6 linked regions of the Oryzias latipes genome follow. The protein of the gene in region 1 interacts with the protein of each later gene in a pairwise test. Links are inferred from orthologs where the notes say so. Each region holds a gene or a part of one and is shown in the gene's direction. Other genes may lie near its edges.

Region 1 (4,944 bases):
CATTCCTCTTACTTAGCATTTTGTTGAGGCACAGAGAAATGACAGGGAGCTTGGGTATTTCAGCAGACTTGGCTCTGTAGTGAGTGGAGCTAGATCCAAATAACGGTGAGCAGAGCCAATTAGAGTACAAAGGCATTTGGACTTTGCATTTTTGTACTTCTTAAGGTCTCAGGACTGTTGTTTTTTTTGACCTGTTTAAAATTTGTTTTAGTTGTGTCTTTTGCATTTTTATAAAGGAAGTGAAACATTTTTGTCACACTTGAGCTCTTAGTTGACACCATTTCAACCACCGTCACATTAGGAAGCATAATGTTATTGACTTCAAAGCATGCTTTTTTATGTTTTTTTTTCTTTCCTATTTCGATTTTATAACCCAACAACAAGCCAGTGTGTACACATTTAATATAACTATAATTATCATAAGGCAGTTTAAAAAAATTAACAAACTATCAATTAATTTCGTACTGCAAACTTTAATCAGTGATACGGTAGTAGGTTAAAAAAAACAAAACAATATGGGATGCAGGGGTGCAACGATTAATCAATTAATTGATTTATCCAACCAGATCATTCTCTCTTAGCCAAGTTGTTAGTCGTATCAAATCAAATCGACCCATACCATTGGGGGTAAAAAACTAAAAAAGTTTCAAAATGAGATAAATCAAGGAATTTGTCTTGGAAAATACATTTGGATTTTTACTATAAGGTAAGAACGACCAAGTACTATCACAGCAGACAACACACATGTGATGACAGCAAAAAATGAAATGATCAGTCCATCATTCCAGTCAAATGTATGGAAACACTTTGAATTTAGCAAAGACTGGTGACCATATAGTGTGCTAGAATGTTCTAATAATATTCCCTTTGGATTATTTGGTTGTGGAACAACAACAGTGGGCTGAACTTTGTACACATTTAATTTACACTGGATTATGTTGCAAGAAATACAAGGAATCTGGTAAACTTCAACTGCACTGTTCAGTATCCAGGTATTCATCTCTGAGTCACACTAGTTGAGGTTTTGGCTAAAGATGTCCTGGATCGATTTTACGTCAGGGAATCGGATTAAATCGGATCATTCAAAAGGATCAAATATTGACTATGAATTGTATTGGCAAACACAAATGTTGATATTAATTGTTAGACCCCTTTGACAAGAAAAGCAAGCTTTATTAAGATGTTCTTAGGTTTTAACACAACGTAAAGAGTGATAGGACATCTTTATGCCATTCTGTTAACGGAGAGATGCTGGTTTTATACATGAACCGGTATGTCTTTTATCATCTGCTTTTTCCTCCTGCAAAGATTTATTATTCTAATGGGGAAAATTGTATCATCTTAGAATGTGTCTTAATCGATTTTGAAAATCTTTTAACAAGATGATGCTAAAAAAAAAAAAAGTAGGCCTAGTTTAAAAAAAAAAAAAAAATCTACAACAACGCTATATTATACCCACAATATATACCCACAATATATATATATAAAGTGTGGGTTTGCAGCCCTATAAGATGTGGTCTTTAATTTATTACAGTTTTTCTGGTCATAAAACACAGAACATAAAACCACAGATTTTTCTTATGGGATGACATGATGCAATTAAAAAAAAAAAAAATTTCATCTGTTATATTCCTGAAAATCCGATTGCAGTACATTTTAGTTCATATGTTCTTCATAAATATGTAGTCTTGAGGTGGTTTAAGAAGCAGAGTTTTGCGTTAAATTGCTCTTTCATTGATTGGCATTACTCTGTGTTTCAGGGAGACTATGATCCAGTAAAGACCAGAGTTCTTCACTTTAGAATGAACCCCTCCAGTGTTGCCAAGCAACAGCGGCAGCAGGAAGTGGAGACTCTTCGAGAGGAAGTGACAACTCTGAGGGAACTTGTACGTTCCTTGCAGGAAGGAGGTGGAATTCTGCATGCACAAGACAGCTCGGGCATTTACACCCCCAATATCAGCCTCAGTTTACCGCCATCCAAGGAGGTGCAGGGTAAGATGCCTCAGACATGGTGACAGACCCTTTCATAAATCATTGCCTTTTTGGATTTTCAAAAAGGCATGCAGTTAAATCGCAGGAAAACAACACAGTTATAAGAAAGAAAAGTGTTTTTTTAAAAGGTGTAAAATCCGTTTTTTTGTTCGTTTTTTTTGCCGATAATATGAAAATTCAGGGTGTCTGCAGGGTTGTAAAGAATAATTGAAGGGGAAACAACAAAAGTGCAAAAATGAAGGGCATTAAAGTGTTAAATTTGCTTTAAATCTTAAATATTTTTCCATCTGAAGTTTTTCATTTGATGCTTTCCAAACGTATGCCTTTAAAGAAACAAAGCACCTCTTTGGCCCACCCGACTCATAGTCAGTGTGGTGTCTGTGGCAAAGGATTCAGTGAATCCACAGGTCAAAATTTGAATGTGTGATCAGTTAACTTTCATGCTGTATCGACGCTTTAACCAAATGAACATTGCTAGACATTTTATGAACAAAATCTGCTGATTTACTTGGCTCACTACCACTGAGGCAGTGTTCAGTGTTTAATATGTAGTGGGTGGACCGTCTTTGTAATCTATCGCTGTAATCCTCTGAATTCTGCTACTGTGGTCACTTTCACAGAGTTATCTTTTCATGCATTTGTTTCATAATCTTTACTATTACATCCATCAGTTTAAGTAAGGGGTAATGTCTGACGAGATGTTTATCATGTAAGGGTTAATGGCCGACGAAGTATACATTATCACTTTTTAGCGCACGCCGTGGAAGCCTGAACGTTCCGACGTAAAGCGTTAAAAATTGATAATGCCCACTTTGAAGGCAATTAACCCGCTTATACCATACAAAAGCAATAAATATTAATCAGTTTTTAGTCCTTAATTCTTGTTTTTTTTTCTGATTTTGGATTGCTTTTCTCACAAAAAGCGGACTATTTGTTACGTGGCGCCGCAACACAGTTCAGAGAGAAAGTTCACCTCTTACTTTTAGTCCTAATGATGAAGCAAAAGGTTGCTCTAAAGAAGCTGCCGCAGTAATACAAAACATTTAAGCTATGTGATCAGAATTTCTTTTTTCACCGTGCGATTATCCTGTGGTATATCACTTTTTAATGCACACCCAACAGCCAATCAGAATCAAGTATTCACCCGGACCATGGTATAACAGAAATTAATGGACGACGCGGAGGCCTGCATTGAAGTCGCTATATCACGATTTACCATTCACACTCTTGCTGTATCACAATTTTTTACATATTTTTTTACAACACACTGTTTTCTTCTTCTTGATTGGCTGTTGACCTTGTCATTCAATCTCCTCCATGCCGGGTCTCCTGTATGAAAGTGTTCAATCTTCGATAGTGAGCAGATCTTTGTTTTTGGATGTGATTTATTATTCTACAAAGATTTGAGCTTCCATCCATCTATCTTCTTTCGCCTGTCCGGGACCGGGTCGTGGGGGCAGCAGTCTAAGCAAAGATGCCCAGGCTTCCCTCGCCCCGGCCACTTCCTGCTGCTCCTCTGGGGGTACCCGAGACGTTCCCAGGCCAGCCGAGAGACGTAGTCTCTCCAGCATGTCCTGGGTCTTCCCCGGGGCCTCCGCCCCGTGGGACATGCCTGGCACACCTACACAGGGAGGCGTCCAGGTGGCCTCCGGACTAGAAGCCCGAGCCACCTCAACAGGCTCTTTTCGATGTGAAGGAGATTTGAGCTTGAAGAGTTTAAATGAGAGTCTGGAAATATTCATGTTTGTCTGAGAAAAGTGTATAAAGTGTGTAATCTGGGGTTTTACAACTTGAAATCCTCTATAACCCTACTTTGCCGATTTCATCTATAGCAGGTTATTTATGGAGCGCTTACGCCTCGATAAACTAGGGAACACTGTAGTATAGAACATCTGGGCTGTGCTACTGGAATATCTATTTTAGGTGTGTATTATCAATGTGGATTATGACTTTCTTATGCAACAGGAATTAATTATAGCTTGTATCAGAGTTTCATTTGACTCTGTATGGAGTCTATATGGCCCCAGCTCGCCTGTGAACTTATGTGTTTACTCTCTGTTGCACAGATTTGAGTTTAAATCAAATAATAAAGTTTCATTAGTTCATGTAATGGCTACCGGTTTGTGAAGTCATATCAGTAAAAGTTCACAATTAAGATTCCAGTTGGTAATGTAACCACACTTTGTGCTATGAAAGCCATCGGGTGAGCTCTCTTTGGTGCTCATTATTGAACATTGTCTAGTCTCTAATTCTATTCTGTTATATATAGATTTAAATGTCAAAACGTGATATTCTGTTTAAAAATTCCATGTTTTTTTAAATGTTTTATTAATTTAACTCAAAAACTGCTGTAACTGTCCTGACCAGTTGATGTTAAAGCTTGTGCAGATAACTAACTTGTTACATTTATGAGTTTCTTAAGCCTTTTGTAACAATTCATTGTAGTTGCATTGAAACAAAACGTCAAACAAATAGATAAATTCATAAAAATTAAAGAATTTTACACAATTCTTTAGAGCACATTACAAAAATAGTATTGCCTCTGACATAAATGCAAGACAGTAAAATACCAGTTGAGCTGATGGTGTAGATGTCACAGACATCTAAATTCATTGGTCAATTTTTGATTTATAGTGATTTCATTCAATATAAATATTTATCCATTTAGTATTGATTCATTTCTTATACTATTCAGTTTAGGGCTGCACAATATGAGGAAAACTTGCGATATAGTGATTAATATTGCGATGACGATATAACTTGCGGTATATTAACATATAAACATATAAAACAACCAAAACATAATTTCCATTTCACTGCAACAGTTTAAAAATTACATTTCAAATGACCCACATCTAAATAAGGCGAAAAACATAGAGCATAAATGGGCTCCATCCGATTGGTCTATGATGTAAAGGAGTCCATTCGATTAGTCAAATACATAAAGGGATT
Region 2 (5,463 bases), on another chromosome or scaffold:
TTTAAATTACAATGAGGTTTGTTGGTCCAGCTAATGAATATTTCTATAAATGTTAAAGTTCCAAGTTTGTCTAGCCTTGATGTGCAACAAAGTTCCATTTTTATATTGTTTTGTTGTCAAATTTAGATTTTTTTAATCGAAAGTCTTGTTGAAATAATGAGTTTGAATGTTTTTCCTGTATTTACCAGGAGCGCCGACTGGCAGCAGTGAAGGAGCTGGTGAGACTTTTGAAGCCTGGAGGTCAGGCACTTATCTATGTTTGGGCTTTTGAACAAGAATACAACAAGCAGAAGTCCAAATACCTCAAGCAAATCTTCAAAGAAGACCATGGAGAGTTCAGTTCCACCAACTTACTGTCAGAAAAGAGCCAGAAATCCAGTGGAGAAAAAGTATCTGATCTTTCCTGCCACTTAGAAAACAGCCATAAACCTTCTGACATGCAAGGTGTTAGTAGAGTTCCTGATGCTCGCCTCAGTGTGCACACCAACCGCACAGCCTTTACTTCCCAGGATCTTTTGGTTCCCTGGCATCTTAAGGGAGGGAAATCGCAGCTAGAGGAAAACCCTGACTTAAGCTCCAGCCCCGACTCAAGCCTGGGGTCGGACTCAAACTCCTCCCAGCGTGCAGATGCTAAGCTGAGTCCAGCATTCCCTCAGGCTTCAGCTTCTGCTTTGAAACTGGAGAGTAGCACAGTTCCAGTTTTTCATCGCTATTACCATGTTTTCCAGCAGGGGGAGCTGGAGCATCTGTGTGCTCAGGTGTCTGGAGTCAAAGTGAAGAGCAGTTACCATGACCAGGGCAACTGGTGTGTTGTGTTGCAGAAGGAATGAATGCAGAAAGATATGTCTGTGCGAATAAAAACTTGGCAGAACAAAAAACAGAACAGTGAGACAAAATGAAAAGATGTTCTTGTTGAGATTTTAAGAGAAATTAATAAATGTAGATTTTTGAGAAACTGTCTTTTACAGGGCTTTGATATTTGTGACTCTTTTGTTCGTTTTTGCTTGTTGGTATTTCATATTTTAAAAATCATTTTATTTTTCTTTTATCTTTAAAAATTCAAGTCAAGTCAAGTTTATTTATAATGCGCTTTAAAAAAAAACCCAGCAGAGGCTGACTAAAACACTTAACAATGAAAGATTAAAAAAAAACAACAATCTAAAATAAACAACATAATAAAAAAGTAAGAAACATCAATAAAATCACCAACTCATACTGAGCTAAAAGACAGAGGGAAAAAGGGAGTTTTCAACTTGGATTTAAAATCATTCAATAAATGAAAAAGAAACACATCTAAGTGATTTTTGGTCTCCTTTTAAGTTCAGTTTGTGCTTTGAAATTATCAGGGACTTTAAATTGAGAGCAGCCAGCACAGATTTTTTGTTTTATTTCCAACATTAAGGCAAATCAATCAAACTTTATTTTTTCAAAGCAAGTTTGTTTCGCACATTTTATGTACAAAGGTAGTTCAAAGTGCCTTACATAAAACATTAAAGGAAACATTTACTGGAGATATTAATGGGGTGATTATTAAAATAAAAATTAAAGAAAGTTAAAAAGAACGGAAATTAAAATAAGCTTAGAGTAACGGTGCTGATGTAAACTTTTGAAGTTAAATTAATTAAATGCTGTTGAGAACAGGTGGGCCTTTAACATGGGTTTAAAAAAACTGAGTGTTTTAGCAGATCTAAGGCTTTCCTGAAGTCTGTTCCAGAAGATCTGTGGAGCATAGAAGCTGAATGCAGCTTCTCCGTTTTGGTTTGGACTCCAGGAACTGACAACGGTGACAACAGATGATGGGAGAGGTCTGCATTGGACACTGAAGCCGCTAATTTGCACATGTAATGCTTGAAAACTATAGAACAAAATAATGATAGTGGGCCTTATATTTATCATAATCATCTTATTTAGCTCTTTGGAAAATTAGGCATTAAGGGTTAGGGTTAATGGAACTACAAGAACCACAAAACAACTGTCGTAAACAGCGATGTTTTACGACAGTTGGCTAGACCCGTGTACGACGTAGTTATGGCGGCGTACGGAGTCAGTTTTGAGAGTTCCAGCAACATCGAAGAAGCGAAAGAAAAGAAACGACAGGCGCGACAAGAGGCGATACAAAAGGTACGAACTAGGACTCTTTAGAACGCAGATGTGAAGTATTTCCGCGCCGCCGTTTGTTTTTGTTTACATTGATTGACCTGCTAACCGACATGCTAAGGATGGTACCATCAACGATCAAGTCAACCGGGACTATGTGACGTTTTGAGAAGGTTTGCTGTCGTGATGAAGTTTTAAGCAAGCGCTTGTCGGGACATTTTTCAGATTATTCCTGTTTGGACCATTGCTGCATGCTCCCTGAACGCTTGCAGGGAAATATGACACAAACACTGAAAGTGGTGAAAGTCAGTGACCGATATAGCACAGCAGACGGCGGCAGCCTGTCTTTTTCGTGTTTACATTTTGTCCAGATTGTAGTTATTCACTGTCCACAGATAGAAAACAAGAACATCTTAATAGCTGTATTCAAACATGAACATAGCTATTTACGCAGCACTTACAGCTGTTCCCTTTAAATGCACATAAATGTGTTGTAGACTCTTATCTGTTCTGCGCAAGCGCCAGGAAACTGACAACAACCGAGTGGAGCCCAGAACTGAGGAAAACTCAATCTATACATTTATCTTCAACCGATATACAGCAAAACATATTTAGCCAAATCTCTTTACTTTCTGTGCTGTTTTTATAATCTGAATATAATATATAATCGTAATCAATTTTCCAGCTCACATTTATACTTATAATCCCAAAATAGTATGTGAAGTCTAGATTTTGTTCAAATCTTTGTTTAGTGTTACCATTTATTTCTAGACACTTCAGCATAATTTAACATAATGTGTGAGTACATTTCTGTAAAACCACAAATACTGGTATGCTGTAGATATTATAATAAATGTTATTTTTTTTAAGGCTAAGCAACAATATGAGAAGGAGGAGAGGAGAAAGGAGCTGAAGAGGCAGAGAGGAGAGGACACCTGGATACTTCCTGAAGTCAACCAGAGACTGGAGCAGTTAGGAGACGTAAGTTGTATCTGTTTCACTTCAGAAAGACATTTAATAAGCAGCACAATGACAGAAATACATCATTTAAAGACCCACTCCAATGAGTATAGTATTTATGTTGTTTTTAACATGTTTTTGTTGCATTTTTCTCATGTTGAATAAAATATATCAAGAAAATTGAGATTAAAAATGCATTTCTGAGTATTTCTGTATTCATATTGTTGTGAATCAGGAGCAGACAGTCTGAGCTGAAATCTGTCTTAAAACTGGACGACTGCTCGCCAGTTTTGTTGCACCGGTAATGTTAGATTGGGGTTGTGAGGGGCTGTGAGCTAGCTGGAGGGAGTGTAAACAAAGGGTTCATGGGTAATGAGCGCACTTCAACAGTCCAACCCACAACTCCGAGGTGAATTTCTAATGAACTCCTGCCACCCTGCAGAAACTGTCCTAGAAAACAACACAGATTTTATAAATTTTTGCCTAAAAGAGCATAATTATTATTAAAATACCACTGGGAATGCTTTGAAAATGGATCAAAAGATGACTGCAGTTGGACGTGAATCATGTTTAATCATTTTCTAGAGCTATAGGTTGTTAAAGAAACATGCCAATGGTGGCACATTTCTTAAGAAAGTATTTATGCCTTATTTTTATATTTACCTAATCTAATTTTCATCTTTTTTTCCTTACATGCTGCTTTGAGTTTGCCATTGTCGGAGAAATAAAGTTTTATTTATCATTTTAGAATTTAAAACCACCTGCTTCACAGCAAACCAGTTTTCATCTTTTTTAAACCATGAAAACTTATTTGTTTTTTTATGTCAACATATTGGGTAGTTGTTTTTTTTTTTCCTGTACTCAAGCTAAACGTTTGCTGGTAAATCTTCATGTTTGCAGAAGTGGCTTCAAAATTTGCTTATGCAGAATTTTGGCAGCTTCACTCTTTTCCTGCTAATTGTATTTATTTCAATTCAAATATATTTTTTAAACAAACTGAGGTTCCATTTAAAGAACTAAATTCAAACATTTACCAGGATGGATCTTTGAAGAGCAAAAAGAAGAAAAAGGAGAAGAAATCCAAGAAGAAAAAAGAGAAGAAGAAGGACAAGAAAGAGAAAAGGAAAACGGAAGCAGGAGATGCTTCAAGTGTGGATTCAGAGGTAGACCGTCTTCCATGCATTACTCTGAGATACAAACACACAAATGATCTGTCAACAAGTTTTTCTGAGTGGTTTCTTAACAAAGATGTTTTAATAATTTCTATAACTGAAAAAATATTTTTGGGTTGAGTTCAGGTGAAGAATTTAGTTACGATTTAACACTAGAACGCCCAGGATTCTTCACTCCCCCTGCAGCGTCCAGAGCACAGCCAAATGGCTGGGTGACTCGAAATGACTCAAGGCCCGTACACACCGGGACGAATATTCGCCAGGCGTTATTCGCCAGCGTTTTTCGCCACGTTTTTTGTGTTCACACCCAGGCGATTTTCGCTGACGGTGAGCCGAGCGAACATGCAATTTCATTCCCTGACATTAGATGGCGCTTAATGTAAACAGAAATACTCCTGTACACAAGGTGGCGCTGCGCACCTTTACGCTTCTTAAAGTCGCTTTTCACTCAGAAGAAGTGAGCAAGTATTTACGCGCTTGTCAGAATCATACAAAGAAAACATGAATATTTCAAGCATCAGTAGCTCCAACTGGTACTTGGTTCGGGGATATTTAAGAATGTCCGTCATTATTTCTTCACAGCAGTGTAGACGCTACTTGGCGTCTATCTTCTTCGCTGGTATGTGTGCTCAGCAAGGCAGTTTTGTGTTTGAGCGCCCCCAAGTTGTGTTTTACTGTAACTTCAGAAGCTCCAGACACGTGTGCAAAAGCGGCATTCTCATTGGTCGAATAGATTTCGACACGACGCGTCGAAAAAAAAAACGAACCCGAGGCGTTTTTTTTTTTTGACGCTTTGGCGCGTGGCGTTTTTTCGCGTCGGTGTGCACACTCTCATTGGTGCCCTTTGTTTAGTCACGAGGCGTTAAACGTCGGCGAAAATTGCCGGCGAAATTCGTCCCGGTGTGAACGGGCCTTAAGGCTACATTCACACTGCAGGGCTTAATGCTCAATTCGGATTTTTTGAAAAAATCTGATTTGTTTGCTAGACCGTTCACATTTCCAAGTAAATCCAAACTTTTGTGATCTCCAGTGTGACCGTGACACGACCCAAACGAGACCCGCATGCGCAGAAGCTAGAAGAATACTCAACAGTGAACAACGTCACTTGTTGTTTGCGGAGCCAACGTTAACAATGGATGTCAACAACAGTGTTGTCAAAAGCGGAGCTCTTTTTGTAATATTACATTTATTTTCACAAAGGAGCAGCACAATTACAATCTTCTCATTTTAAGAA
Region 3 (5,469 bases), on another chromosome or scaffold:
CGTTCAGAGCTTCTGCTTTTTTAAGTGCTAATCTGACGATGAAAGCCATAATGAAATTGCCAACCCCTCAGTGTTTTTACAGTACGTCTCAGAAAAAACAACAACAAAACACATGACTGAGCAGAAAGCTGACAGCAGTTTCTGCAGGAACGAACTCAACTCATTTGAAAACTCCAATGCCCCGTAAATGACACGAAACGGAACACACCACTGCAACATTTTATTTCTAATGTCTGGTTTTTATGGATTCAAACTCAGCACGTTTCCTTTCGCTGTGTTTGTACCAGACTTTTTCCACACAAAACACTTTTAGTAAAACTTGGTTTTCAGAAACTCTGACCTGCTAAAAGCTATGATCCCCTTTCTTCAGATATTTTTACACACAAATAATTTGCAGAAGATAGAGCCATGCAAGTAAATTTCTCTAAAACTGATCATTTTAAAATTTTACTGAGCACAACGCTGACTGTTTTCTGGGTTTTGTTAAATGCATTTAAAGACTAGTGATGCTTTTGGATGCTCTGCAGAAATCCTGTGCAGGAAGCGCGTTGCTGCCCTCTGGTGGTGAATCTCAAATACCGACACACACAGGACAAAATAACTGATTTAAAAAACCAGCAGTGTCACTCAAGTCCTGCTCTTCTTTATTTATTATATGTAAGGTTTTCACAATATTGTTATTCACTGATAAAATGAGTTAAAGTGCTTTTTAAAGTGAGCGGCCCAGAGGAACGTCAAATCGGTGTTTTGTTTGCTTTAACACAAGCATCAGTTTTCCTGATGCTGGTTTTTAGGAGCGACTGCTGTCAGTCCAGCCATGTTGGACCCCGTTGTGTGGGGGAGGACGTTTTAACCGAGGAAGGACGTGTCACGTGTCCTGCAGCTCCCACCGATGCCGAGATGTTCCTGAATGCATGTCGGGAAACGAGGAACCTGAAAACCTCGTCTGGACAGGATGGCACACTTGTAAAAAATGTTGGTTTCAACCTGGCTGAAGTTGAGGTTCTGCTGGGTCCAGAACTTGTGGTTCCAGTCCTCCGTCTCCTGCCTCAGGTTTCTCAGCCTCTTTTCCAGCTCCGACTCCTCCTCAGGGATGCGGTAGATGATCGGCCGCAGGTTGGACAGCGGGTTCGGGGGGCCGATCCAGTCATGTGTAGAGCTGGGCTCCGGTCTCAAAGGTGTCCGCTGAAAAATGGAAATATGAACAATAATTAAACGTATTTACTAAGAACAGATGGACTGCAAACCGCAGTCCCATGCCCACATCCTAATGTTTGCAGCATTTGTCCAAAGATGGACTTTACAAGTGACCAAAAAAATGTAAAAAAAAAAAAGAAAATAAAACACCAGAAAAAGGTGTTCGTTTAACCCTGGAGAACCCAGCAACCATTTTTTTTTCAGGGCTTTTAAAGGTAATTAAGCAAATTTGATTTTGTTTCTTCATTTTGGAAAGCAGCAATTAACAGCAACCAAAAAAAACTTCAAATGAAAACCTAAAAATAAAGGAAAAACTAGAGAGAAAAAGAAATAAATAAAAACCATAGAGCTAAAGTTGATCCTGTGGATTCCCCCAGAGTTAAAAACACAGAGACAAGTCAAAAAGATAACTAACAATGAATTAATTTGTCCCACCAGATCGATCTGTCTGAGCCAAGAGGGTAATCAATTCCAATTGACCTCTACCATTAAAAAAATCGTTAAAATCGATTATATTGATCTTGGAAAATACCATTTAGATTGAGGTACAGTAGGTTTATTTGACTATAAGGTCAAACCGCCCAATCACAGCAACACACATGTGATGTCATTAACACGGATCAGTCCATCATTCCAGTCCAATGTGTGGACAGACTTTGAATAAAGTCATGCGACCATCCAGTGTCTAGAATGTTCTAAGAATGTTCCCTTTGGATTCTTTGGATGTGGAAAAACAACAGTGGAGAACTTTAGGAGAAGATCAACCAACAACTGTTTGCTTTTTTCAGGAAACTCTTTTTCAAAGAGGGCCAACTATTCAATGCATTAAAAGCAAATAAACTATGAACATTATTATGGCAATTGGACTCTTCCTATTTCTTCACATAAAAGAGAATTCTATCTAAATACATTTGTACATGAATTTCTGATTAGAAGGCCAGACTTAAAATCCAGAATAGGTCTGCAGCTTTGATGGCCCTTTGGAGCCAGCGCAGTCTGAGGGTTTTTGATGGGACGGCCCCCCAGGCATGATGCAGAGGGAACCAGAGGACTCCAGAAAACCCATTTTAACCGGGCCAAAGCATGTGAACGCATCTAAGAATAACCAACAGAATCCATCAGACTCTGGCGCTTCAGGTTCCTACGGTTTGGGGCTGAGGTGGGTCAGCAGGAGGCCCTGCAGGAGGGCAGCAGGAGGGATGCAGGAGGCCCTGCAGGAGGGATGCAGGAGGCCCTGCAGTCTAACTGGAGGCATCTGCTTATCAGTGCAGAGCAGACGGCAGCAGGAGAAGAGCACGGAGGAGAGCAGGCATGAGGAGAGCAGGGAGGAGGAAGACTCCATCCAGGACCCAGAGGCCTGAAAAAAGGTGCGTTATGACATCACTACCTTCAGCTGCAGAAGTCTTTGGACTTTCTTCATCATTACGGTTACATTTACTACAGTGAATCAGAAACATTAGCCCAAACAAACCCACTGACAGCTGTTACAGATGGGTTCTACTGGTGTCTTTTGATTCTCGCAGCCTTTCTGTGAGGATCTAGAGCCGTTAAATGAAACTTCAGAACCAGATGACGTGAAAATCTCTCATGGTTGCTGATGAAAAGCCTGTCCGTTAGGCCTAAGCAGCACTAAACATAGAAGGAGTTGGTTAAAGCCATGTTTAGTTCAGCCAGTCAGTAACCTGCAGGTCAATTAGACTTTTTGGCTGTGCAGACCTAGTGCGCATGCGTCGTTATCTTGGTTTTCACAGCAGGATCAGAACCTCAGCGTTTCTGATTCCTCCGGTAATGTGAGCACGGAGCCTGGGATAAAAACACCAACGCGGAACGGACTGCGGCGGCGCGCGCACCTTGGCGGCTTTATCCTGTTGGCTCGTTGGATTATTAGAGCCGTTGCGCCGGATGTTTACATCCAGCAGTTGCACGCGGGAGTTCCGCGCGCTCCTCCACGACAAGCGTCCAGCTGCCCCGAATGTCATTCCCGCAAAATCAAGGCACTGTCACGCAGAAAAGCTAAACACGCAACGGTGGCGAACAACCCATGTCTCCCAACTGTATGTCCTTCCGCGAGGATGTAGGACAGGTGGTCACGTGAGCTGCAAAAAACGGCTAGAGACGCTCGGAAACAGCACCTTCGCAAGCCGTTAGTCAAGTCTCTGCCCGACGGGTTCGGAGCAGATGAGGTTTCAAACTAAACTCTAAATAAAACATATTTCTAGAAAGATACTGTCAAAACTTTTCATCGCAAAAGCTTCAAGTACCAAAGCTACAAACTACGTTTTGAGTACGTTATTTAAAAACACTGCTATATTTATGTTTTATCAGAAGCGATAACGAAATAAAACATAAACAAAACGGGTCGAGTTTGTCTCCGCACAGAGTTGGTGATTAAATGGAGCGCACTCGCTGTTGGCCGACAACAACCTTCCCTGCGTCTGAACTGATAAAAGCTTCATTATTAAACGAGATAATGACCAACAAGATTAACCAAAGTGTTAGGAATGTGTACAGATATAGTTGTAGCTGTTGGTTACACTCAGAGATTGAAATATTGATTAAAATACGAAGTGGGAGGGTAGATTCAGCGAAACAATCGAACTCCGTGAAACTATAGTGGCGAGGCTGAGACGGGAAAGTAAGTCCGTGAAGGTGCAGCTAGGCGGGCTAATGTTGATCTTCAACAGAAGGTTTGGGGCTTTTCCTTCGCAGCGGGGTACATGGCTGTTCGCTGGTTATGCAGGTAAGACTGGGGCGGTTCAACGGCGGGTAGATGCCGGCGTAAAGCCGCAGTTTATGCGGTCAAGGTGGGGCAGAGTCAGTCAGGTGATCACCGACAGCTCACAACGGTGTTAACGGGCTGGAAAAAGACCCGGTGGTGGGATTTCATCTTTCGAAGTCAAATATCTGCGCGTGTAGGTCAAGTGTTTGGGGTTTTTTTTATTTTAAAAGAAGGGGGGGGGGGGGGGGGACAAAACCATGTTTGCAGACGTAGTGGCTTAGAGGTGGGAGGGGCGACAGCCGCCGGACTGCAGGCGGGCGGGCAGAGTCTGTCTGCTGGTCGCCGGAGCATCGCGACACCTCCGCGGGCTCCTGTCTGCGCACGCGGCTGCTCCCCAGCTTCGCCGGCCGCCTGCTTTCTGCTGATGGAAACAGACATCTCTCAGAATGTGCGCGAACGTGTTCGGAGTCCTGAAGAGGTGAGGCGGCGTCAGGGCGGGGCGGGGGGGCTGGTTCGGCTTCACGCTCGTCCGCCCGCAGAGCCAGCGGCCACGCAGGGTTTCCCGCGGGGGACTAGCGTTGGCGGGGCGGCTGTTGAACCGCGTCCGGTTCGGGTTCCGAACGGCCGCGTGCGCCTCAGAGGCCCTCTCTGGCTGCTGTAACCAAACGGAGGCGCGCGCTGATTGGCCGTCCGCGCGGGGACTGGACTCCGATTATCCTAATAAATGCTGAGATTTGGCAGCTTTCCCCTCTGGAAATGTCCAGCCCTCTTACATAAACCCGCTTTAGAGGAGGCCCAGCATAATCTGGTTTTGTTAATACGCGTTATTGTTGCCGCGGGAGGAAAAGGTTGCGGCCGCTTCGCTTGTGTGCAGCAGTGATGCTCGCGCGTGTCCGTGCATGTGGTGGAAAACCTGACATCTAATCTATTGAGCTGTTTTCTCCTCATCAGAGGGAATCCAGAACCTCAAATGCATGAGGCCAGAGTCAGAGGACTGCATGTGGGTCTCATTCTGGGGGGAAACTCCTCAGGATGGATGGTTTTACATTTCCATTCAGCTCAAATGCCCTCGTGTACCGTGAAGGTCAGAGGTCACCGACCTGAGGCTCCTGCATCCTCCACTCTGGCTCTTTAGCTGTGAAGAAAGATGCTAATGAGTTGAATAAATAACAGTTTTGGTCCATTTAGTCAATTTTTTCGTCATTTCGGTTTAGTCTTTAATATGTGTAGTAAAGTGTAGACGATTGTCAAAGTTGTTTATTGTTAGAATAAACTTGAAGCCCATTTTCTGATCTTCTGCTGCACAGTGGTTGCAGATCAAATTCTTAAAGGATAGAACTGCATTTACATGTATAGATTTAAATAAAAGAATTCTTCACCAATCCTGTCATATTTATATTTAATGACGAAAGGGGGAAAAAGATGATGGTGCCCTAAAATCATGGTGATAGAAAAGATCATGTTTGATTTGACTTTCTTGTTCTGTTTTTTTTTTTATTCCACTGAATCATGTTGCAGCAGGAAGATCTCTTTTATAACACAGGGTGTATTTT
Region 4 (4,944 bases), on another chromosome or scaffold:
TCCATTTTTGGACCCAGTTTTGGTCAAATCTGCTTTTTTCATTCATTTTTGTCTCTTGCTGGGATTTTTGCGGTTTGAATCTAACTCGCTCACCACAGCGCTGTCCACCAGCGGCCGACTGATGGTAAAAACAACAGCATTGAACTTCTGATTTGAAATGTCATCAACTCAGGTTTTCGTTTTGGTTGAGCTGCATGATCAAAAGGATTTTGGGGCAGAGCTGAGCTGCAGAGATCATTTCATCTCCTAAAACTCTGAATATTTCAACATTTTATCTATTTTTTGATTATTGACCTAAAGTCCCAGTCTGATGAAATGGTACTTTTGATGTTTTCTTTTAACATGTTCTTGGGACATTTTTCTGATGATAGAGGACAAAATTAAGCTCAAGATTTCATTTTTGAGTATTTCCTTATTCAAATTGTGAATCAGACAAAAATGTCCAGTAAATGTGAAATATATTTAACAAAAACCTTTTATAAAAATCTTTTTTGCGAGTTTCCTGAATTCAAAGTGCAACGAAATATTTACAAATAGTAAAAAAATGCATGTAAATCAACACAACGCAGGTTTTGTGAGCTGCTGCTGGCGTGAGCTTCTCACAGAGAGCTGCTGGGATTTTGTCGTCACACCGCGCTCGGAAACTCGCTTACATGTGCGTTTCAAGCTTCTGCGTTACGACCCTTTTGGGGCTGTACATACAATACGCAGCTATTGGACGCACGTTACCAGCTAATCCAGGTCAAACTTTGACCAATCAGCGACTCAAATTTGATAGAAACTGGCCGAATTCCGCAGTTTCATCTGGTCAGCTCAGACACGGAGACGAGCCTGACGACGTCTGCGTCTGTTTTTCAAATAAACTCTCCTGATTTATTCATAACCTAATCCACCATTGCCAGGGCGCCGTAGATGAACCGAACAGTTTTCCGTGTCGCACCCAACATGCAATGATTTGCACCGCTTTGATATTTTGCACCATCCTCTTCCAACTGTAGGTGGCGGACATGTGCTAGTAAAGAGTTAAAAAAAAGAGGAAGAAGCCCCTCCCTGCTTGTCCAGTGTAAACACTTTGGGCTAAACGAGCGTTCAAGAATGCACGTTAAATGCCAGATGTGTACGGAGCTAAACAGATTTTGGAGCGTGGGATTTGTTGCTCCAAGTCTAGGGGGGCAAAGCCAAACTAGAAAAGTTTCCTCCTTCAGGAACAAGCTCCTCTTTGCTAGTTTCCATTTGAACGTCTGCACGTTGCGAGATGCGGACAGGCTGACCGTAGTCCGAACAATGGAAGCCCAGGAATCCAAAGATGAATTCTAATTAATTCATGATTTGTATTGTTTTTTGGAGGTAGATTGTAAATGGGCGTGGCTCCGGCATGCAGCTCCACCTCAACCTCAGCGTCCTCTGGGACGCCGGCTCACTCGTCTGTCTTTTCCTGGAAGCGTTTGCTTCCTGTCAGTCGGCCGTGTGACGGACGGCGCTGCTTGGCTGTCGTAGAAGCCGTTCCACTTCACTCTTCCTTCCAACCTGTGTGTGTGCTTGGGTTTTAGTGCACGTTTGTGCGCCTGTGTGTGTGACATCGACTCGTTTCTGCGCACACAACTAGAATGCAGAAAGAAAATCTGTAGAAATCCACGAGTGAACTTCCTGTTCTGTCAGTTTTCTCCTAAGGAATAACCCAGTTCTCCTGAAATGTGTTTATTTTGGAGTCGTGTAGTTGTTTAAAAAAAAAAAAAAAAGCGTAACAAGAGGGGGTTATGGGTAAAATGAGCAACTCTTCCTTCATTCATTAATGGCAGTGCTATTAATTATGCATGGGGGCTGGTTTTCTCCTTCTCTCCTGCTTTGCTCCCTCCTTCATTGGAAGCGTTCCCGTATTGGATAACCGATTTTAGCCGAAGCAGCGATGCTCCCATGATTCTCAGCTCTTTTTCTCCTTCCTCCACTCTCCCCTTTATGTCCTACCCCCCCCTTACCCCGAGCTTATTGCACCCGTTCTGCGGTCCTGAGTGACCTTCAGGGCTCATTTCATCCACCGAATCGTTCAGGGAATCCGTGATTTTCAGGTTTTGATATGTGAGGGGCTGAAGGCGTCAGGAGAGCGAGGATTTTTTAAAAATTATTATTTTACATTTGTTCTGTAAGGGCGTGGTGAGAAAGCGTCAGGACACTTGTGCAAGAAAATGACTTTGAGGGAGAGCGCCGAGTCAGACGGGTGAATACTGCAGCCTCAGCTGGATGCAGGCTGCTCCCCCCCTCCTTCTCTGTGCGCACCTCCAGTCTTGAGCATCCTCATCGCTGCTATAAATATCCGCAGGCTTGAGTGGAAAGCAGCAGACGGGCCGCAGGGAGGAGCAGAGGACAGAGGGAGGGGATTTGGCGAGGAGACGGCAAGCTCACAACAATTACCGAGGGGAGGACATCCAGAAGTTTTTTTTTTTTATATATATAGAGATTTTTTGGACTTCAAAAGGCCTCCATGACATCCATCCCGGTTAGATTCCCGCTGGAGCCGCGCCCTTACATGCGCCTCCCGCTCAGCCCGGGCCGCTGACATGCGGGCCGGTGTGGGCCGGGCCCGGGGCGGAGCTGGGATGTCATGCTCCTCTGCTGCTGGTGGTGCCTGCGGCCTGAGGCGGTGGAGCTGGACTCCCGGAGGGTGGAGCACCACGTGCTGAGCTGCGAGGCGCCCGCCTCCACCATCGCGGCCGTGTCCTTCGAGCGCTGGGACGCGCAGGCGGGCGGCGGCGCTCTGCCTCAGAGGTCCGCTACTTGCTGCAGGTGGAAAGAGCCCCCAGATTCTTTCCGGAAAACTCAGTTTGTTTTTTTGTCTGGGGAGGGGTCTGCTGTTGGTTTAGTCCTAAAGGCTATCAAATGTTTGTCCTGAAGTCAGTGTTTGTAGATGCTACATTAAAAATTCAGTCTAATGCGATGCTTTTTCTGCATTTGTGGTGCAGTGTGAAGAATTCCAGCTACAGTCTGCCGTCCTACCACCCCTACACCAACAGCTACGACTACTCCGACCAGAGCAGACCCAGCGAGCGCTCAGGACTCTGTGGATTATCCAACTTAGGGAACACCTGCTTTATGAACTCTGCTGTGCAGGTGCGGTCTGGAGAACCTTCCTCAAGTCTCCTTTGTAGTTTAGAAGTGAGATGGTCGCTAATTTTGTGTGTTTTCTGCTTCTGAACGTCAGTGTTTAAGCAACACTCCTCCGCTGACGGACTACTTCCTCAAAGACAAGTACACAGACGAGTTGAATGAGGACAACCCGCTGGGAATGAAGGGGGAGATCGCCCGAGTCTACGCCGAACTCATCAAACAGCTGTGGTCGGGCAAGTACAGCTACGTCACCCCGAGACCCTTTAAGGTGATCACCAGAACCTTCTCTCCTTGTAGGGGTTAGACGACCTTTTTCAGCTTGTGGTTTAGTCATTGACTGTATATGAAAAATGAACTCCCACTCTCATGCTCCAAACAGGAAGTACCTGCTGACTCCAAAAAGCCAAAATCCTGTAGACTTCTATAAAGAAATAAACAGCTATAATGCTACGAACACGTGTGACGCGCGTTCAAGAGTGTGCGTTCTTGAACCCGTGTTTAGCCCCATGGTGTTCACACCGGAAAGGCAGGGAGGGGCATTTTTTTCTTTTTATTTTTTGACTGTTTACTGGCGCATGTCCACCACCTACAGTTGAACGAGGCTTTGTGTGAAAAGGCGTAGCGGCATAAATCTCGTGAATCTTGCTCCAGGCTTTTTCCATCACAGCTTTGTTCTTGGATATGAAAGACTTGCCGTCATAGACTTCACACCGGACACAAAACGCTGTTATTCATTTCTCCTCTATGATCAATTTTTAAACAGCTGACACTTCTGTGCATTAAAGAGGACGCCATCCATACGTCAATAGCAAATCTGAGTCCCTGATTGGTCACAGTTGGTCCTGGTTTAACCTTTGAATGCGTGTTCAATGGCTGCGTGTTTCGTACATAGTGGTGGAAAAACTGCATAGTGACCGGTGAATGCCAGACTTTTGAACACGGAAGTCCAAAATGCACGAACATAGGCTTTCAAATGCAAGTGGTCACTTGAGCGCATGTTGCGGAGAGCGATGTAATAGTAGCTTCACTCTTTTATATTTTTTAGAAGAATCCTCCTTGCTCTGCTACTTTTGTTTGTTTTTTTAAACACGTCCCTAATATTTTTTTCCCTTTACTGCGAGTCAAAAACTAAAAAAAAAAAAAAAGATGCCTAAATAACATTTGATTGACAGTCTGTGAAACCCCCTTTCAACAAGCTCACTTCTGATTGATGACGGTGGTTGCCATAGAAACGTCTTGACTTAAACCAATTTGGACCAATCAGTGCTCACTGAAAATTTCTGGCTCCAACTTGGCGACATCTGTATCGCGACTGACAATTGATTTTATGTGGTTGAAGCTGGAACTCAGTGGGTTTAATGTTAGATTAGGGCTGGGCGGTTAATTTGTTGGTCCAGACGATTTACTTTTGAGAGGCAAAGAGGAGCTACTTCCGCGAGACTGAGGAAAATAAATAAACACTAGCGCACACGCCGCATGAATCACTCCGTAACCTCCGCTAATCATCTCCGTGTAGCTTTAGTTTACGCTAAGCGGAACATGTGACCATTTTTACAGAACCCAGACAGAATTGGAGGATAGACCTGTTGGACTAACAGTAGCAACAGAACGTTTAATAAAAAGCGGTGTCGTTACACTGACACGACGATGCTATCACGCTAAGATGCTATCACGCTAAACGCTATGCTAACGGGCTGTTCCTTGTGTCGTCTACATTTGATCACGGACCGGTTTAAAGTCAAAATATGTTTTCAGGAAACGAACAAAATTAATTCATAGAACATTTATGAAAACTGTATGTTATGGATTTATATTGTTATGAGTAAGAGGCAAGAATCCAAA
Region 5 (5,398 bases), on another chromosome or scaffold:
TCCTCACTTTATCTCCAAAGGAACATCAAGTAAGAAAACTATTTTTAGCTGCTAGTTTTCGAGACGTTTTGCCTTTCGGTCCTGACCTCTGTGTCACATCAGTTTTCAATAACATTCCTTTTCAGTTTTAGTTAATTGAACCTCAGTGTGTTTAAGACCATATTTCTATTTTCTTCCTGCAAGACTTTTTTGTCCTTTTTAAGGCATTAAAAGGTGGATCAGCCAGTGTGCTTCAGATTAAAGTCAAACAGATGGAGAACATTTCTCTTCAGGATTTGTTGGTAGACACTGGAAGCTGTGGTTCCACAGCAAGTCTTCCTGGTTCACCACTGTAACATGTTTGTTTTCTCACGTGCTGTGTTACTTTTACACCAAATGTTGTAGACAAATGTATTTTTTAGAAAAGATTGACTTTAATCTAATCAGTCCTTAGATTATTTACTCAAAGATAGCAGGGTCTTTTGACATCTCTTGAATAAGTTACTGCACTCTTGTGGTAATTTGTTCAACAGGCCACTCTGGAGATGGATCACAACTGTTCTTGTGTTTTCCTTGTTTGAGGAGATTTGCTCTCAATAAAGTGTCAAAGCTTCAGAAATGGCTTAATCATCAATGTTTTTGAGCAAGTGGTCCCAAAGACTGTTTTAATTTTTTCCTGAGTATCTCTGGATTGCAACACAACGGCAAACGTTTGAACCTTCAGTTCATGCTGGTCTTAAACATTATTTTCTTGATTATTTTTTTTGTGTATGGGTGTGTTTGTGTATGAGTTTTTGTCTTTGAGTGGAAAGAAAAAACTATCAAAATAAAAGCCCTTCCATGTTATTTCTTACATTGTATTTATTTTGTTATTTATTTACATTAAACGCTAATTTAAGAATACTTATATATAAAAAATTAATCATCTAGCCAGAATATAAGAAAGCAAATATTACCTACACTATGATGGCTACTTTTTTCTACCTTGTATATCTTACCTGATATTTGCTTTCTTGTAACATAGATTTTATTTATCAATTGAACTAGCACATAACATCAAAAAAGAAAAATAGTAATAATAACATATCCTTTTTTAAACCCTTTTAACATATAGCCTAGTAGTCAATAGGCCTAAATCAGGAGTCTGAATCTGAGGCTCCAAATCCAAATGTGGCTCTTTGTCCCTACATTATGGCTTTTTGGCTTTGAAAAAATTCTAATAATTTGCGTAAATAATGGTTTTGTCGTAGTCAGGATTATTTTGAGTTAATTACGTTTTGTCATTTATTTTTAGATTTTTAAAATGTCAGGTAACTGAGCATCATGACAGTAAAAGGTTTAATCTATTGTGTGTGGTTAAAGAGAAGAAACGCCTAGGAAGTGCATGGAGGAACATTTGTAGAAGTTTATATTTACATTATATAGATTTGTTTTGCCTGGTTTAATATTTGAGAGTAAAAGGAAAAAAAATGAAGGCCCACCAAAATCATAATAATAGAAAATGTTATATTGGATTTATCTTTCTATCTTTTTAAATTTAAGTAAATCTCCTGTAGCAAAGGATCCTATTTGACACAGGGTGTGTTTTATTTTGAAAGGATCTTGTCAAAAGTAAATAAAGTTACAATTAATAAATGCAGAAAAACATAACACTGTTATAGTTAAATTACTGTAAATATTTGAAAACTACATAAATAAATTCTATTTTCTAATTGATAAAGTGAGCTTTTGCGGCTCTAAATGGATTTTGGTCCGCATTTACAGTCAATGGTCACAGAAACTTGCCCAAAAGGCTCTTTTAATGTTAAAGTTTGTCCGCAGACAGGAAGTAGCATTAACTGACCTCACATAGTACGAACTCCGTGGCGTCAACGTCCGCCTCGTTTTCGCGGGCATTTTCGGGCGATTGTAAATTCTCCTTTGGTGAGACATCTCCTCCAGACAATCCCGCTTATGGAAGCTTTCGAAATGGAAGAATTTATTTCGACTGTGAAATGTGAGTATAAGTCGGTTCAACTACATTACACGGCTAATTACAGATACAAACCATAAATAATTGTAACTGCGTCATCAGCAGGGGTAGGGGGTAATCAATGAGTTATATCGCGATATAACTGGGGCTAACCTAGCTAAACCATCTGCTAGGCCATGTACTATTTTGTCAAGCTAGTTTAATGAAATGAATTAAGCACATAAATCCTACCTTAGCTTTAGCCTTTGTCCGAGTGAAAAAAATGTTTGCTTTATTTTTTAAACAAATTAATTATATTTTTTCTTTCTTTAAAACTACCTTAAAAAAACATGCAGACTGCCATAAATAATATTATATAAATGTTGGGTTTATTCAGAGAAAAATCTATACAGAAATCATGAGAGCAATTTTAAAGTTAACGAAGAGAATCTTGAAGCTGTTTTTATGACAGACAGACATGCTTGGTTTTATTTTTGTTGTGGAACAATGGCTGGCAAGACTTTTAGGGTATAAATAAAGTTTATTATTTTGAATTGGTTAACAAAATTATCATTTTACTCTTTAAAACGGGAGCATTATGCCTCAGGGGGCTGGAGGGTCTGTTTCTGTTACCCACACATTTATGCATATATATGTGTGTGTATATAATATATATATATATATATATATATATATATTATTTTTTTTTGCTCAATCCTGGATAAATACGATAAAGAACATTTGGCAGAAATCAATATTTTGGAAATTGTTAAGAAAAAAGGGCAAGTAATTTTTTTCACTGTCCAGCTTGATTTGAAAAAAACAAAAATAGAACAAACTAAAAACAAATGTCTCTAGTTATTAAAAAAAGTGTGATTTGAGGCTTTGCAGCAACAAAAATAACTTAGAAGTGTACATAACAGTTACCATTATGCTTTGACTGTGAACTTCACTCACAGAATTCTTTTTAACACCCACTTTTAAAAGTGTGGAGGGTGTAATTTGCATCAGCTTCATATACAACAACTTGCCGCCTCACAGATCTTAAAAGCATAAGAGAACAAGCATATGCCAGAACCCTTTTCTGCTATGGCAAACTAGAAGTTACTGTCAAGGGGAGCAGTTATTGGATGTGTCACATATATTTATTGAACATCTTTTACTCTTAGTGTGTCTATTCATTTCAAACGTTCTGCTTTTTCACAGGTCTCACAGAAAACTTACAGCAGAAAGATCTAACAGATTGCGATGAGGTTATAGAGAAGCTTTTCTCTGAAGTCTCAGGCTTAGATTCCTTTCTCAAAATACCAGATCCTCAGGTAATTTATCAATCGTTTTAGATTGTACTATTTTTAATATAGTCTATAGTCCTGGACAGATATGTACAGAAGAGGATTAGGGCCATGGAGAAAGAAAAAAAAAAAGGGCATAGAAAATTCTGACTTTAATCTCAGAATTCTGACTTTATATGTTCATGTGGAGCTAAACATTTTTTCCCCCTATCCCAACATATCTTGAACCTGCAACTTCGAAATTATTTTATAGCTTAACTACTTTTTAGTAGTTTTAGTAGTAAAACTGAATGCTTAAGTCTAATAATATAAGTTATTGGCATGTTTTTAGTGTCTTGTTTTACTGGTACAGATTCAGGAGTGTGCCGTCCAGTTGTGGAACTGGGCTGTTACCAAGAATGTGGGAAACGCCATAACTGCAATCCAAAAAGCTAAAGGTATTCTTCCAATTGCAGTCTGTATAGTTTTTAAATGTTTACCTTTCTTGATTTTCTAAAACACAAACCTAATTATGGGGATTACAGGCAAGGTTAATGCCTCATTTAATATTTTTTATCATCATCAGTTCGCCATGTTGCATGCAACCTGCTGTACTGCTTTGAGTCTGACAGTCCAACAGAGGGCGCCTTTCGAAAACAAATCTTGGTAAGTAATTCTGGAGGTTTTCCTTTTTATAGCCTGGCATTTCAGGAGGATAAGGCCTGTGTGTTGATATCTTATCCTTCCAGATGGCCAGCAAAGCAGGGAGAGCCTGGCTGAACTGCAAAAACTTTCAGATGGCAGATCACTTTCTGAGACTTGCCGTCAAGGTGAGAAAGAAACGTTGGATAAAATCTGGAAATGTTTTTAGCTGAAAGGAGAAGGATGGAATTATTTTATTCTTTTACAAATGATCCAACATGGTATATTCCTAGAGCTTGGAAACCCTTTACCGCCAGCTAACGTCCAGAGCCAATGACGAACCTGACATCTTGTCATCCAAGGCAGATGTGGAGAAGGACCTTCTTCGGATCCTGTCGTGCCAGGCTGAGTCGGTGAGCAGTGCTGCATGTGATGTTCAACACCTTAAATGTGAATATTTGTTCTTGTGATATTTTGCAGCTTGGGAGGTGCTGTTCTGACAGACTTGCAGTGTGAAGTGTAAGACAGTAAAATTGTGACTGAGAAACAATGAAGGGGGGGTTCTGAAATAGCTAATTGAGAGAAGTTCATTTCCCTTCATTTAATACACAATCTGATCTTTGTTACAGGCTATCGCTCAAGGGAACAACCAAGAAGCCATAGTGTTCATCGAGCGATGCAAAGACATACTGCTGCGGCTGCCAAATGAAGTAAAACACAGCTACCTTACTGTTCTCTTACATTCAAAGCACATGTTGTTGAAAGTGAGGGGGGTGTTAAGTGTGAGCTTTCATCACAGACGGCGTACCTCTCAGTTGTCTGTTACAACTTTGGAATCGAGGCATACAATCTGACAAAGTTTGAAGACAGTGCATTTTGGCTGAGGTAGTAGATTTATTAATGTGGTTTGATAAAAAGTAATAAAATAAAAAAATCCAGGGTAAAAATGCATCTCTTCCTCCTTGTTTGTTTTTGTAGCCAAAGCTATGACATTGGAAAAGCAAACATGAAATATGGTCCAGGATCAGAAGCTCTGGTAAGACCCCGTAAGACAGAATGAATAGAGTTAGCAGCAGGAATGCTAATCTTTGAGAACAAGTCATTAAAAAGAAAAAGAAAATATTTACAATGTCACTCATAAACAGGCCAAAGTTTTGCGGCTGCTCGCCACGTGTTATTTAGAGTGGGACTGTGAGAAGTTTCAGGAAAAGGCTCTAAATACTGTCAGCTTAGCAAACAAGGTGGGACGTGAGGCAATATTACGTCAAATATTTATTGTAAAAGGATGAAGAGTGATTATTCCTATGGTGGTGTTTGGCAGGAGTGTGTGACCCCGTTTGGACTTTACTTAAAGATCAGAATTCTCCTCAGATGCAGAGCCCCAGACAGCCCTGTCAGAGCAGGTCAGTCATAATCTGACTGCCGTCAGTGATGTGCTACAAAAATAAACACAAATAGAAATAGAATAGAAAGAAATAATGAGTCTGATATTGGTGGTCACAAAGCTTGTACCACTTAGATTGGATGCTTCCTAGTGTGTCATTTGAATCTTTGA
Region 6 (4,429 bases), on another chromosome or scaffold:
TATCTTAGGCGTACACTTTAAGAAGATCTGGAAGCCATTTTGGCATCTTTAGAAATGCTTTGAGAAATCTATGATTCAAGGTTGATACTCAGCGACAGCTGTGTGTTATTCCTCTGTATAAATCTTACACTGGCAGCTGTAATTGGAAAATAAACACCTTAATAAAGGTGACAAAGTCAATAAGTATTCATCAGCCTCTAATTCTATCCATTGTCCCACTTACTAAGATAAAAGAGGTCAGTAATGTTAATCATACATTCAATGAGAGAAAGAATGAAACAAAAAATATTCCAAGAAATCAAGTAGTATGATTTTTAATGAGTTATTTGTATGATGGTGCTGAAAATAAGTATTTAGCTCCAACAAACAGGCTAGAATTCTGTCCCACAGAGACCTGTGGCTCTTCTTTCCTGTATTAATGTCACCTGTTTGAACTTATTATCTGAATAAAATACACCTATTTATTCCCCTAAACATTCAGACTCCAACCTCTCCACCATGACCAAGACCAAAGAGCTCTAAAAGAGACAGCCCTTTAAATATAAATCCATTTGTCACCTATTACATAAGAATACTAAAGCTATAGAAAAAGTCCAGTTCAGATCCAAAAGTCTTTAAATAATTCTTGCATCTTTACTCCTGGAGGGAGGTGGCAACTGTGCTCCAGCAACAAAGAAGCAAACCCCACCGGGTTCATCGGGCTGGGAGCTCCTGCTGGATCCATGTTTGGCAAAGTATTCTGTCACAAGAATGGGCAGACGGCTGGATCCAAATGCAGCATGTTTATTAGCTCAGCTAAAAGTCCACAAAGCTAAATCAGGGTCAGGCAGGCAGGAGTCAATAAAGAGCATGGCAGCATCAGAGAAGAAACAGAAATAGTCAGGATCCAGGCGAGATTTGGGGCAGGCAGCAGGCAAACAGAGTGAAAGACAAGGGTCAGGAAATCAGAAGATCGGGTCCAAATACAACACTCGGTAATGCAGGCAGAGTGGCACAAACAATACTTCACACTGAGTGAGGCTCAGTGCTTAGGTGTACTGTGAGTGATTTGCAAATGAAAGTCAGGCGTGTGGCATCCAGAAACTGTTGCTGGGGTTGCTGGGAGATGAAGTCTTTGAACAGCTTTTTTGAACAGCTTTTTCTTTCAAATTGTAATTCTTTCATGAATGTGTTTCTTCATTCCTTCTGTTCTTCAAAATATTATTGTTTCTTTTTTACTTTACCTCTTTATAAAGTGTATTTGGGTGTTTTAAAAAGGGCTTTTAAAAATTATTACTATATAATAACTTGTTGCATTCAATTTTCTGCCTGAAAACATTTTTTGTACCATTGCACGTATTAGTAACACATTGTTTGGCTTACCTTTGGTCAGGCTGAGGCTGAAGTGGCTTCCCTGAACAGGCGCATCCAGCTCGTGGAGGAGGAGTTGGACCGAGCTCAGGAGAGACTGGCAACAGCGTTACAGAAACTGGAGGAAGCAGAGAAGGCAGCAGATGAGAGTGAAAGGTATAACCCTCTTCTGAAATCTGTGTAGTTTTGCTCATGGATGAGGAGGAAAGAGATTGTTATCTCAGCAGAGAAATAAAATTAACCAAACCAGTTATGTTTGAATACATACACACAAATATGTGAGCACAAACTTCTAACGTAGTGTGATATTTTTCTGCACAGAGGCATGAAGGTAATCGAGAACAGGGCCCTAAAAGATGAAGAGAAGATGGAGCTGCAGGAGATTCAGCTAAAAGAAGCTAAACACATAGCAGAGGAAGCCGATCGCAAATATGAAGAGGTGAGTTGGTTTATGTTGCTAAGAGCTGTTAGCAGAATTCTCTGATTGCTAAAAGCACTTTATTTTTCATTATTTTATTTTTGGTATACGTGTTTTCTGACTTTTGAGAATATATGACATTCTGATCTGGTAATTATAAAATATTTTGATACATTTTTATCCTCATAAAATGAATTGAACCGATCTTTTATTGTCTTAGTTAAACTAAATAAGATAATGTTATCTACTATAGCAACTAATAACTTCTGAATGTTTTACTTCAAGTTCTAATAAAGTTGCATTATTAGCACAATTGTCTGGTCAGGTATAACACAAAAGACATTGAAACCTACTTTGTCCATGCTGTAAGCCGTGGAAACAAAACTCTTTTTTAGATATTTAGACAATACTAATATAAACCTTAACAAAGACTGTACATCGTTTTGACTTTTACTTGTTTTAAACCAGGTGGCTCGTAAACTAGTGATTGTTGAAGGGGAGCTGGAGCGTACAGAGGAGAGGGCAGAACTTGCCGAGGCGTGAGTGTTTAATTGAAGCCTTCACCCTATCTTTTCATGTAAAAATGAGCTTTTTGCTAATCTAGTTGGTGTTGTTCACCTTTTGGCATTTCCCTTCATGGGTCGCCACAGCAAATCAGTGTTCACTGATTCGCACAGTCGGTTTGGCAGAGATTTTGACACCGGATGCCCTTCCTAACACAACCCTGTATTTTATCTGGGCTAGGGACCAGCACAGGGGGACCCAGACTTGGCCACTGTTCAAATAGGTCAAGTTTAGACCCAAGCTGGACTATAAAATTAATAATGTGATTTTATTAATTTAAAAAGTTTTACACTTATGTGTCTTGAAAGGGCATCATCTCCCTTATTGGAAGAAAAAGAGCAGAATTAATGATCTTTAATAATCTTAATTTGAAAATTAAAAATAATGAGATTTATTGATCTAAGCCATGCAGTCATTGGGTTTTCTTGAAATTGACCAATTGATGGGTGAGAAAACCAGATGAATAACACCATTTTAAATATTTTCTCTAAAAATATAAAAAAAAATCATTGGAAGTACCGGTAGATTCAAATAAATTACGTGTGTGGAGAAATGTGTAAATGGGTGAATGTTTAAAGAAGTTTTGCTGCTCATTAGAGAAACTTCTTCAGTTCTAAGTTCTGATGTGGAGTTTCAATAGTTCATTTCTTGACTTTTCCAGAGGTGTGGCAAAATAGGTAACTTAACTATGTCATTTAAGCAAACCCAAATGTCAACAATCCAATCCTTTCAGGGAAGAACCATGAGCATTAAGCCACATTAAGCCACGACTCAGCAGTTCACTTTCACCTTGTGGAGTGTAGACCATTCACTTTTCTGTTCAAAGAGTCTTACACTGATTTTTTTTTCCTCTAAAATGCATATCAATCAGTAAATGTGCTGAACTGGAAGAAGAACTGAAGAATGTCACCAACAACCTCAAGTCTCTGGAAGCTCAGGCTGAGAAAGTAAGCAGTCATTGCAAGCACAAACATGACTTCTTATTTTTTCTTCGACCTAAAATTCCCCAGAAATCACTTATAGTAGTTTTATCTGGCATTAAAATTACAGGCACTATTGCCCCACAGTGGGAACGTGACAGTTAATTAAATAAACGTCTTCAGTAGATTTTTTGTGATATGTCTCTAATAAAAAAAAAAAATCTCTAATTAAAATCTTTTACAGATTTCTAACTAATACTTGAGTTGTTTTAGTTTTGGTTGAGTTGTCACAGCAGTCAAATAAACTGATGCATCAACACCCCAAAGTAGTCTAATGGTAAAGTAAAATGCAATTATAACCTATGTCCTTTATCCATTTTCTTGTATTTATCTCTCCATCTTCTGCTGTAGGCAGCAGTCTTAGCACAGAGCCTTGGTTTTGTCATCCATTTTTTTTTAGCAGATTAGAAATAGTTGGGGATTATCAATAAAGAGCTCCAATCTTTTGCTTTGGACACATACCCAAGTCTCTGCCTGGTTTAAATGATACAACACAAAACTATATTAACCCTTGTGCTATCCAATGGGGTCAAGATGACCGTTGACGTGTTCTCCATACCATGACAAAGGTGGATAAAGGTGGAGAGGATTTCATGTAACTCCCAATGTTAAAGTGCCTAAGATAGCACAAGGGTTAAATGTACAGCATAGATTGATAGAACACTGTTACACTGTAGACTTGTGCGATTGCTGTGCATTAACAACTGTTGGATTTCTTTCTGCAGTACTCTCAAAAGGAGGACAAATATGAAGAGGAAATCAAGATTTTAACTGACAAACTCAAGGAGGTGAGCACAAAAATGACATGTCTTTTTCACGCTAAAGATGTATTTTTACCCTTTAATTACCGTCAGCAGTGCAGTACATCAAGTGTTTTACTTTTTAACTTTTTCAGGCTGAAACCAGAGCTGAGTTTGCAGAAAGATCTGTCGCTAAGCTGGAGAAGACTATTGATGATTTAGAAGGTACAGATCTCATTCCATGTGTCCAAGTGCATACTTTATAAGGTGTCATTCCTAAAATCATGAAATGGCAAAAACAAGACTTTTTTTAACCATAAAATTCTTTTCCTTGATGAAAGAAAAATAAATGTTGATGAAAAAACAAACTTTATCAC

What was found.
Region 2: the proteins of mad1l1 (region 1) and cwf19l2 interact in binary tests that used the Homo sapiens proteins (3 or more experiments, as listed by UniProt). The two-hybrid records come from large-scale screens. The link is inferred for Oryzias latipes from reciprocal best matches to the Homo sapiens genes MAD1L1 and CWF19L2.
Region 3: the proteins of mad1l1 (region 1) and bag5 interact in binary tests that used the Homo sapiens proteins (3 or more experiments, as listed by UniProt). The two-hybrid records come from large-scale screens. The link is inferred for Oryzias latipes from reciprocal best matches to the Homo sapiens genes MAD1L1 and BAG5.
Region 4: the proteins of mad1l1 (region 1) and usp15 interact in binary tests that used the Homo sapiens proteins (3 or more experiments, as listed by UniProt). The two-hybrid records come from large-scale screens. The link is inferred for Oryzias latipes from reciprocal best matches to the Homo sapiens genes MAD1L1 and USP15.
Region 5: the proteins of mad1l1 (region 1) and tex11 interact in a two-hybrid assay, tested with the Homo sapiens proteins (2 studies listed by BioGRID and IntAct). The two-hybrid records come from large-scale screens. The link is inferred for Oryzias latipes from reciprocal best matches to the Homo sapiens genes MAD1L1 and TEX11.
Region 6: the proteins of mad1l1 (region 1) and tpm3 interact in binary tests that used the Homo sapiens proteins (3 or more experiments, as listed by UniProt). The two-hybrid records come from large-scale screens. The link is inferred for Oryzias latipes from reciprocal best matches to the Homo sapiens genes MAD1L1 and TPM3.

The regions. Positions count from the first base shown.
Region 1 is NC_019859.2:22,993,795-22,998,738, forward strand, and holds part of mad1l1 (mitotic spindle assembly checkpoint protein MAD1), read left to right. Parts: intron 1-1,760; coding exon 1,761-1,992; intron 1,993-4,944. UniProt on the Homo sapiens protein: Component of the spindle-assembly checkpoint that prevents the onset of anaphase until all chromosomes are properly aligned at the metaphase plate.
Region 2 is NC_019871.2:20,781,947-20,787,409, forward strand, and holds the start of cwf19l2 (CWF19-like protein 2), read left to right. Parts: upstream 1-1,989; 5' UTR 1,990-2,028; coding exon 2,029-2,121; intron 2,122-2,967; coding exon 2,968-3,078; intron 3,079-4,094; coding exon 4,095-4,220; intron 4,221-5,463. Other genes in the region: alkbh8 (alkylated DNA repair protein alkB homolog 8), read left to right, coding at 189-830.
Region 3 is NC_019880.2:21,267,298-21,272,766, forward strand, and holds the start of bag5 (BAG family molecular chaperone regulator 5), read left to right. Parts: upstream 1-1,869; 5' UTR 1,870-2,508; coding exon 2,509-2,564; intron 2,565-3,047; coding exon of another isoform or gene 3,048-3,176; exon of another isoform or gene 3,177-3,295; intron 3,296-3,430; exon of another isoform or gene 3,431-3,914; coding exon of another isoform or gene 3,915-3,937; intron 3,938-4,195; exon of another isoform or gene 4,196-4,362; coding exon of another isoform or gene 4,363-4,394; intron 4,395-5,469. Other genes in the region: apopt1 (apoptogenic protein 1, mitochondrial), read right to left, coding at 988-1,185, 3,048-3,176. UniProt on the Homo sapiens protein: Co-chaperone for HSP/HSP70 proteins. It functions as a nucleotide-exchange factor promoting the release of ADP from HSP70, thereby activating HSP70-mediated protein refolding.
Region 4 is NC_019881.2:6,925,524-6,930,467, forward strand, and holds part of usp15 (ubiquitin carboxyl-terminal hydrolase 15), read left to right. Parts: intron 1-377; exon of another isoform or gene 378-2,599; coding exon of another isoform or gene 2,600-2,781; intron 2,782-2,957; coding exon 2,958-3,105; intron 3,106-3,196; coding exon 3,197-3,370; intron 3,371-4,944. UniProt on the Homo sapiens protein: Hydrolase that removes conjugated ubiquitin from target proteins and regulates various pathways such as the TGF-beta receptor signaling, NF-kappa-B and RNF41/NRDP1-PRKN pathways.
Region 5 is NC_019868.2:11,386,667-11,392,064, reverse strand, and holds the start of tex11 (testis-expressed protein 11), read left to right. Parts: upstream 1-1,814; 5' UTR 1,815-1,932; coding exon 1,933-1,975; intron 1,976-3,136; coding exon 3,137-3,249; intron 3,250-3,574; coding exon 3,575-3,659; intron 3,660-3,787; coding exon 3,788-3,867; intron 3,868-3,950; coding exon 3,951-4,031; intron 4,032-4,136; coding exon 4,137-4,256; intron 4,257-4,472; coding exon 4,473-4,553; intron 4,554-4,642; coding exon 4,643-4,728; intron 4,729-4,821; coding exon 4,822-4,879; intron 4,880-4,988; coding exon 4,989-5,084; intron 5,085-5,164; coding exon 5,165-5,246; intron 5,247-5,398. UniProt on the Homo sapiens protein: Regulator of crossing-over during meiosis. Involved in initiation and/or maintenance of chromosome synapsis and formation of crossovers.
Region 6 is NC_019869.2:21,742,848-21,747,276, forward strand, and holds part of tpm3 (tropomyosin alpha-3 chain), read left to right. Parts: intron 1-1,372; coding exon 1,373-1,506; intron 1,507-1,671; coding exon 1,672-1,789; intron 1,790-2,236; coding exon 2,237-2,307; intron 2,308-3,203; coding exon 3,204-3,279; intron 3,280-4,037; coding exon 4,038-4,100; intron 4,101-4,207; coding exon 4,208-4,277; intron 4,278-4,429. UniProt on the Homo sapiens protein: Binds to actin filaments in muscle and non-muscle cells. Plays a central role, in association with the troponin complex, in the calcium dependent regulation of vertebrate striated muscle contraction.